3 linked regions of the Saccharomyces cerevisiae S288C genome follow. The protein of the gene in region 1 binds, or shares a complex with, the protein of each later gene. Each region holds a gene or a part of one and is shown on either strand. Other genes may lie near its edges.

The links.
Region 2: ASK1 (region 1) and DAD1 share a complex: the UniProt entries of both Saccharomyces cerevisiae proteins name them as parts of the DASH complex.
Region 3: ASK1 (region 1) and DUO1 share a complex: the UniProt entries of both Saccharomyces cerevisiae proteins name them as parts of the DASH complex.

Annotation. Positions count from the first base shown.
Region 1 is NC_001143.9:339,145-342,291, reverse strand, and holds ASK1 (Ask1p), read left to right. Parts: upstream 1-1,745; coding exon 1,746-2,624; downstream 2,625-3,147. Other genes in the region: SFK1 (Sfk1p), read right to left, coding at 1-980; MDM35 (Mdm35p), read left to right, coding at 2,850-3,110. UniProt on the Saccharomyces cerevisiae protein: Component of the DASH complex that connects microtubules with kinetochores and couples microtubule depolymerisation to chromosome movement; it is involved in retrieving kinetochores to the spindle poles before their re-orientation on the spindle in early mitosis and allows microtubule depolymerization to pull chromosomes apart and resist detachment during anaphase.
Region 2 is NC_001136.10:477,875-480,569, reverse strand, and holds DAD1 (Dad1p), read left to right. Parts: upstream 1-1,811; coding exon 1,812-2,096; downstream 2,097-2,695. Other genes in the region: inositol polyphosphate kinase KCS1, read left to right, coding at 1-1,455; HED1 (Hed1p), read right to left, coding at 2,285-2,695. UniProt on the Saccharomyces cerevisiae protein: Component of the DASH complex that connects microtubules with kinetochores and couples microtubule depolymerisation to chromosome movement; it is involved in retrieving kinetochores to the spindle poles before their re-orientation on the spindle in early mitosis and allows microtubule depolymerization to pull chromosomes apart and resist detachment during anaphase.
Region 3 is NC_001139.9:388,336-391,581, reverse strand, and holds DUO1 (Duo1p), read left to right. Parts: upstream 1-1,870; coding exon 1,871-2,614; downstream 2,615-3,246. Other genes in the region: YBP2 (Ybp2p), read right to left, coding at 1-1,517; PYC1 (pyruvate carboxylase 1), read right to left, coding at 2,850-3,246. UniProt on the Saccharomyces cerevisiae protein: Component of the DASH complex that connects microtubules with kinetochores and couples microtubule depolymerisation to chromosome movement; it is involved in retrieving kinetochores to the spindle poles before their re-orientation on the spindle in early mitosis and allows microtubule depolymerization to pull chromosomes apart and resist detachment during anaphase.

The sequences.
Region 1 (3,147 bases):
GCGTTATCGTCCGAAGGCAAAACGTCTTCACTGTGGTAGAGGCCTAGCGCCTTGTCATACTTGTAATAACCCGAAAATGATTCCACGTGGTTGAAATAGCGGGATTGTCTGTATCTTCCACCTAAATAAAAGTCGGCGGAAAGAATCATAAATATGATACCAAACCAAAATGCTAGCAACCATTCGAAACAAGCACTCTTAGATCTATCATTGATAGCACCAAAACAAATGGCCCATACAACTGCGAGAGTTAACCATATAACTTTTAGAGTTGCACTGATGGTAAATTTATTCCATACATGGCCTTTCCATTTATACCAAGGCAGCTCATCCACAGTGTTATAATCTTGGTTAAAGCTTTTTTCAGATGATTGAGGATTGAAATGAGGGCTGGCTAGGGGGTGGACTGAGGCATAGTGCCTTCCCATGAGGAAATACTCTGCAATCAAGCAGCAAGTGGATAGGAACATGAAGACGACGAAAACAGAGACCATAGCAATGTGAACGCGATGGTACAGGGCGGTTGAGAAGATGGAACTGAATAAAAGGGCTAGTTCACCAATGCTGCCGAGAACAAAAGCTGCGAAAATCAGGTTCCGTTCATCCTTTGTGTAATATGGAGGCATTAAGTATTTACCGCTGTGCAATTTCTCAGCATAAGATGTGGAATCAGAGATAGAAGGGTCTTTTTTTTTCAGTTGGAAAGGCAGATAGCCGGATCTTTGAAAAAACTCAAGGGCAACAGTGATTACATAGCCTAGACCCTGCCAGCCGGCGCACGATATAAACAGTGGCCTTAAATTAGTGGCACCTATATCTGAAATGTACACAGGGAATTGCTCCGAGTGCATGAACCAATATATGGGATGGCCTTGACTGGCCCAGCAAATAAGCATGGCTATCAGCATACCATACCATGGAATGAAGGCAATCCAGGGTACTATGAACAGCCAGTTACCTGGACTTTTAAATTGAATCATGCTATTGCTTGTACCTTCTATGTGTTTTTACTATGTAGCAGAACTTTTTACTATGAATGTTAAAAGTATCTAAAGGAAAAAAAATCCCGCAAAAAATTGTGTCTTATTATTTAGGTTTTTAGTTGTCCAGATGTTAAATCAGTAAATCTCAACTTCAGGGAATAACTATATTTATAAACTGAATGCCCCTAAGAAGGAGTGAAAATTCCGGTTTCATTCTCCTTCGCTTAGATGACAAATCTTCCAGGCTGAAAAAAGTTGCTATTTTTCCAGTTTTTTTTTTTCATCCATTTACTTTACTGCCGCGGATCCTTCAATTGAACAGAGCCCTTAAGCCGCAGAGGGGTAAGAGATCTTCGTTTTTGAACAGCCGTGGAAGATGTTTAGAGTTGGATATGGCTGGCAAGACCGTTGTGTTAGTCTTCATTGATAATCTTGGGCCTTATCCCGTCCTACTTGCACTATTATAGTGGAAATGCGATATGTCCGGTGCGTCATAGAGGAACGGAGGCCCTTGCTTGATTAGTAGCTACTCCGATTAAATGCGGTAGTGCCGCGCGGGTAACAGAACAGCGAGTTTTTCCTGTTTTCTTTTCCGTTCTTTTCCGTTTGTTTCCGTTCTTTTCCGTTTTTTTTTTCCGTTTTTTTGGTTTGTTTTGGTGAGCTGAGGCATCAACAAAATAGATATCTACAGTTTGGGGTGGGAATAGAGCCAGGTTGATCAACGTATGGAAAGAGCAACATAAGGGATTGTTGACACAAAAAATGGATTCTGCAAGCAAAGAGGAAACATTGGAAAAACTTGATCAAGAAATTACAGTGAACCTGCAGAAGATAGACTCTAACTTGAGTTTCTGCTTTCATAAGATCACCCAGGACATCATCCCACACGTGGCTACATATTCAGAAATATGTGAGCGGATCATGGATAGCACCGAATGGCTGGGGACTATGTTTCAAGAGACTGGGCTGGTGAATTTGCAGGCAAATGCAGCTGCACCAGTGGGAAACGCTCCAGTCAAAAGCCTTGTGAGCAATAATGTTGGTATATTTCCTACATCCGCTGAAGAGGCGAGTAGGCAGTCCCAGACAGACAATGGGCCTAACGAGGCAGATTCAGCTGTACATGTCAACCGGGATGTCCATTCTATGTTTAATAACGACAGTATAGATGATTTCCACACAGCGAATATAACATCCACGGGACAGATATTGAAACTTCCGGACTCTAGCGACGAAGATACTGGTTCAGAGGCGGTGCCTTCAAGGGAGCAAACAGACCTTACAGGCGAGGGTCATGGTGGAGCTGATGATGAGCAAGATGAAAGTACAATACAGAGACAAAGCCGCAAAAGAAAGATTTCGCTACTTTTGCAGCAGCAGTACGGGTCTAGTTCCAGCATGGTACCGTCTCCGATTGTGCCCAATAAAATGCGGAAGCAACTGGCTCATGAAGAACATATTAATAACGACGGCGATAACGACGATGAGAACAGCAATAATATAGAGAGCTCGCCTCTGAAGCAGGGGCACCACCACCCGAAGGGACAAGCGGATGATAACAACGAAGGGCCCGATGAAGAAGAGAGTACGAAAGAAGTACCAAAGCCTGGGACCATCATTCATTTTTCTACGAATAGATAGAATAAATAAGTACATACAATTTTTACTAGTGATGAATATCAGAACGCAGGGTAATGGGCCCGCTATATTTTTTCTTCGATATAGGGAGAGCCACATTCAGAATATTCAGAGTATTTGCATGTAGAAATTTATTCTAAGTGCGCCAGATATATGCCGGGAGAGGTCATTAGAAAACATCTGTTTGTGTTTTAACTTGAATTACAATAACAATAATACCAGTTTTATATGGGGAATATAATGTCAGCTAGTTTTGCGCCTGAATGCACTGACCTGAAGACGAAATACGATAGTTGTTTTAATGAATGGTATAGCGAAAAATTCCTGAAGGGAAAATCCGTTGAGAACGAGTGCTCAAAACAATGGTACGCTTATACTACATGTGTCAACGCAGCTCTCGTCAAACAAGGTATTAAGCCTGCTCTAGACGAAGCTAGGGAGGAGGCGCCGTTTGAAAATGGCGGCAAACTAAAAGAAGTTGACAAATGAAGTATATATTTTAGCACAGAATGTGCATTATTCAACA
Region 2 (2,695 bases), on another chromosome or scaffold:
AATACGACTACAATGGGAAACCATAATGCGCGTTTGGGTTCCAGTCCATCTTTTTTAACACAAAAATCAAGAGCCTCGTCCCATGATGCATCGAATACGTCTATGAAGACTCTTGGTGATTCATCGTCACAAGCGAGTTTACAGATGGATGACTCGAAAGTCAATCCGAATTTGCAGGATCCTTTCTTGAAAAAATCGCTTCATGAAAAAATATCTAATGCTTTAGATGGCTCGCATTCAGTAATGGATTTGAAGCAATTCCACAAAAACGAACAAATAAAACATAAAAACTCTTTCTGCAACTCTTTATCACCCATTCTCACTGCAACCAATTCTAGAGATGATGGCGAATTTGCCACCTCCCCGAATTATATCAGCAACGCACAAGATGGTGTTTTTGATATGGATGAAGATACGGGAAACGAAACTATAAATATGGATAACCACGGCTGCCATCTTGACTCTGGTAAAAACATGATTATAAAGTCATTGGCGTATAATGTTTCAAATGACTATAGTCATCATGATATTGAATCAATTACGTTTGAGGAGACGTCCCACACCATTGTTTCAAAATTTATCTTATTGGAAGATTTGACAAGAAACATGAACAAGCCTTGTGCACTGGATCTAAAGATGGGGACAAGACAATATGGCGTAGACGCCAAAAGAGCCAAGCAACTGTCACAGCGTGCAAAGTGTTTAAAGACCACTTCTAGGCGTTTAGGCGTTAGAATCTGCGGATTAAAGGTTTGGAACAAAGATTATTATATCACAAGAGATAAATACTTTGGTAGAAGGGTTAAGGTTGGTTGGCAATTTGCTAGGGTACTTGCACGTTTTTTGTATGATGGTAAGACCATTGAAAGTTTAATCAGGCAAATTCCAAGGTTGATCAAGCAACTAGATACTTTGTATTCTGAAATTTTTAATTTGAAAGGTTACAGGCTATATGGCGCGTCTTTATTACTAATGTACGATGGAGATGCTAATAAATCAAATTCTAAAAGGAAAAAAGCTGCTAATGTTAAAGTCAACTTGATCGATTTTGCACGTTGTGTTACTAAAGAAGATGCAATGGAATGTATGGATAAATTTCGTATACCCCCAAAATCGCCAAATATAGAAGATAAAGGGTTCTTACGAGGTGTGAAGAGCTTGAGGTTTTATCTGTTATTAATCTGGAATTATCTGACTTCTGATATGCCGTTAATTTTCGATGAAGTAGAGATGAATGATATGATTAGCGAAGAAGCAGATTCGAATAGTTTCACCTCCGCCACCGGTTCGAAAATCAACTTCAACAGTAAGTGGGATTGGTTAGATGAATTTGACAAAGAAGACGAAGAAATGTATAATGATCCAAATAGTAAACTAAGACAAAAATGGAGAAAATACGAGCTTATTTTCGACGCTGAACCAAGATACAATGACGATGCTCAAGTTAGTGATTGAAAAGAAAGGATAGAACTAATGAATATTCTTTTAGCTGCGCTTATTTCAGTCCGTAAATGCATTTATCTATTCGTAACTATCATTATTTTGATTGCATAATCCAATAAATACACAAACGAGCATAGCATATATAACTATATATATGAAAAGACAAACGAATTTGTACGTGTATGAATATGACTACACGGTTATAGGCGATCACTAGAACCATTGAGCGGAAAGGGCCACCTCCGGGTAAAAGTCAAGGCCGCGAAAATAACAAAGGGAATAAACAGTCACCTTTAACAAGAGGAGGTAGTAATTAGCGTAGGAATAGGACTGATGAAGAGCTCGGACGTGTGAGGATATATGTACATATGATGGCTAGTACATCCAATGATGAAGAAAAGTTGATATCAACCACTGACAAATACTTCATCGAGCAGAGGAATATAGTATTGCAGGAGATCAATGAGACTATGAATTCAATCTTGAATGGTCTGAATGGTCTCAATATATCATTGGAGAGCTCGATAGCTGTGGGAAGAGAATTCCAGTCAGTTTCTGATTTGTGGAAAACACTTTATGATGGGTTGGAAAGTTTATCAGACGAAGCGCCCATCGACGAGCAACCTACTTTATCTCAATCGAAAACGAAGTAAAGTTGCGGTTCCCTCTGTCTCTCCTAATATTATCCTAAATTTATGTTTACAGTCGCAAATTAGATAAAGGATACGTAAGATATAAATTGTAATTTTAGCCTAATGATAAGTAAGTTGTGGACAACTTTTGCACGTTGAAAAAAGTGGAGGGCCACCGAACTCTTTTTCAAACGTTCTCCTCTTTGAACTTAGTTGTCTACCGTTTTGGATGGTAATAGCTGTTTCTTGGATAGACCTACCTTATATTTAACCTTGTTAGAATCCACCTGATAGAATGTCTTGTTCGTTTCATATATCAAGTCCTTTAGGCTCTTCTTCTTCCTTGGAGGGCTTTTCTTCATTGAAGGTGGTGGTTGTAGCCTGTCAAGCTCTTTCGAGGGACCTCCTTGGTATTGATCTTGTTCTCTTACTCCTTTTTTGGCGTCCAGATAAGCACCCCCATTGGGGCTTCCGCCACCTGTGTTCTCAGACAGATTTTTGGCACGAAGTTGTTGTTTTTCCAATTCCAAATTAAACAGTCTTCTTTCTACAACGTTGATGTTGACTATGGGAGAAGTCGTAATAGACCTTTTGTTCTTTCTTGCTGGAGCAACTTCGGT
Region 3 (3,246 bases), on another chromosome or scaffold:
TCTCTTAGAATGTCAAGAACAGCAATCTTTGCAGTTATATATGGACAATGTAGTAGAGTTTCAAAGATGAACGTAAAAGATGTGCTTTCGGGCATGAGATAGAGTAACCTCCTCAGAAGAGTAATTTCGGTCAACTTAGTGTCGTTATTAGATTCATTGCAAGTTTTCATCAGTAACATCTGCAAAAAGGCCGTGGTAATGTGCCCTGGAAGTTCTTGTAAGGCACACTTTATTTTCTCTGTGGAAGTCTCGGTTGTGGATACCCATAGCCAGTAGCGTACTGAACTTTCCAAAAACTTATTTTCGTATATTTCTGAAAATAAAGAAGCTGTCGTACACCGTAGATAGAGGTAAATTGCGCTTTGGATATCAATTTGCGGCAATAAGTGAGTACCATTTTTAGAATAATGTATTGCAGATAGAATCACAACTCCATATTGGTCCAGCTCTAAGTTCTTTTCGTCAGCTAGTTTCTTGATTTGATATGCGTAAGATACCTCATATACTAGTTGGTTAATTTCTTCTTTGAATTCGGGCGTGGAAGCGGCCGGGTTCATGAGAAGAGAGTTATAGATGCTTCTTGATTCTACCAGGCACTTTTCTAAAAGTTCTTTCATGTGGACATCCAATGATGTGACATACTCGTAGTATTGGTGGCATATCTGTAAAACTGAAGCATCGATTTCATTTTCATCTGTTTTTTTATGCATCAATGTTTTGAAATATATCTTGTCAATATTACCTGGATGATTTTTTAGGCAGTTGCTAATCACGAATACGCTCAGATTAGCCAGTAGTTTTTTCTGTAAGGCAGATTCATCATCATGAATTTTTTCAAGATCGTTTGTACTAATACCATCGGTCAGACTAGCAGATGGTTGAGCTGGAGAGTAATTAGTACAAAAATTGTACACTATGCGCAAAATAAAGTGTGGATCATCCATAGCCTGAACGTTGGTTGTTACATACTTAATAATTGCAGAAGTTACCATGGCTAGAAATTTAGATGGATATAAAGTGTCCACACGTTTCAACAATAAACTCATAAATTCAAAGAGAACGTAAATTTTCAAATTTGGAATGAATTCTACTGTATTTTTGGCCATATAGTGCCCAATCTCCGGAGTGATAACTGACAGCTCATCAGTAATGTTTGACGCATCATTTCTATTGGAGTCATTTAAATCTTCATTCTCTTCATCGGAGTCGCCAGTTTCAGTTAAGACTATATGGAGTGTTGACACCAATTCGCAAGCGGTCAACAAGCATTCTTTCGGATTTCCATTGATGGCTAGCTCATTGAAGCATTCCATCACACTAGAAACAAGGGGACTAAAAACTAGATGTATATTGACATTGATGTTTTTGCGTGAGAAAAACTGCAATAAACCCTTTGGCAGATCCCAGCCAATTTCCTTTAAGGTAACTGGATTATCCTTAAGTATTTTCAATAGGGCATCCAAATAACGTTCCTTTTCTTTTATAGACTTTCCAGAGTTCACCTGCTCGTTGTACATATCAATGATTGTTACAAGTGAGACAAAATCATCCTTCTCCTCTTGGAAAGCCCTGACAAGGCTTTTACAAATTGTTTCAATTGACTCACCCATACTTTCTGAGCCCTTCCTCTTGACGGTGAGTTCTTTTAGCCTTTTAGACCCAGGATAATATGTATTTTCCTTTATTCTTAGATGAGAGGTTTTTGGACCTCAGCGCAAGTTAGTTTCACAGCGAAACGAAGGAAAAAAGAATAATAATTACAAACAAACGCCAAAATCAAACGCGATAAAGAAAGATAGGCTAAGTAATCTGGACTGGTGACTCAAGTATTACTAAAGAAGATAATTTGAAACTTGAACAAGTCTTCAATATGAGTGAGCAAAGCCAATTAGATGATTCGACTATAGACAAACTGATTCCACAGATTTTCAATGAGATGAGATCTAACCTCAATAACACGACCAATAAATTTCCAAAAAGCACAGGAGGTGGAGCAAGCGATAATATTTCGGCTAACAGCAATTCTATAAGATCGTTTAATTCAATCACAACGCAATCCTTACTCAAAGAATCAGAATCGTTAGATAAAATAACAGCAATGATAAAAAATGTTACGGCCGCATTAAAAAATAACTTGCCAGTATACGTTAATCAAGTACATGAGGTATGTAAATCTACGAATTCCATTTTAGATTCATGGATCAACATTCATTCTCAAGCTGGTTATATTCATAAATTGATGAGCGATCAAACCTATTTAAAGCTAATTAATGATAGACTGCACAATGAAAATGTAAACACAAATGATGAAGATGGGAGTACTTTACACAACGTGATAGCGTTGAAAAAGAAGGAGATCTTGGATTTGAGACAAAAATTAGAAAATAGGAAGGGTGAAAAGGATGCTGCACCAGCAAAGCCACCAAATCAAGGCTTAAATCCAAGGTACGGTGTGCAATCTGGTAGAAGGCCCGTTCCTTCGGCAGGAATTTCAAATAACGGAAGAGTAAGAAAGACCCATGTTCCTGCCTCGAAAAGACCTAGTGGTATACCAAGAGTAACTAACAGGTGGACTAAGCCCACTGCTAGCAGCTCAAGGAAGATGTTTCGCTAAAAGATGCTTTCGGGAATGTATCTAGGATTTATTGTATATGGAATTTAAATCGAAATAGTAGATAAATTAATGATGAAAAAAGGACACGTTAATTGGATGCGTTAAATTATTATTTTTTTTTTTATTTAACTTTTGTTCCTAATTATGTATTAGTATTTACTGGTCGTCAAAAAATAGGAAAGGTAAATAAATAAGATTCGGGTATATTATACATTATAAATGAGAACTAACCGGTTCATGCCTTAGTTTCAACAGGAACTTGGTCTTCTAATAGAACTAATAAATCAGAAGAGTCCACATTTTCACCATCAGAGACAAACACTTCTTTAACTTGTCCATCGGATGGAGAAGATATAATCATTTCCATTTTCATGGCGCTTAATACGGCTACAGGTTGGCCCTTCTTTATTAGTGATCCTTTATGAACTTTAACTTCAACAATGACACCTGCCATTGGTGCACCAATGTGTAATGGATCATGCATGTCTGCTTTGGATTTAGTAACAGTTTCCACTTTTTGTGATCTGTCAGCAACACGAATTTTTCTCATTTCACCATTCAAATCAAAGTAAACTTCTCTTTCACCGGTCTTTTTGTTCAAATCACCCACAGCCTGTAGCTTGATAATTAGC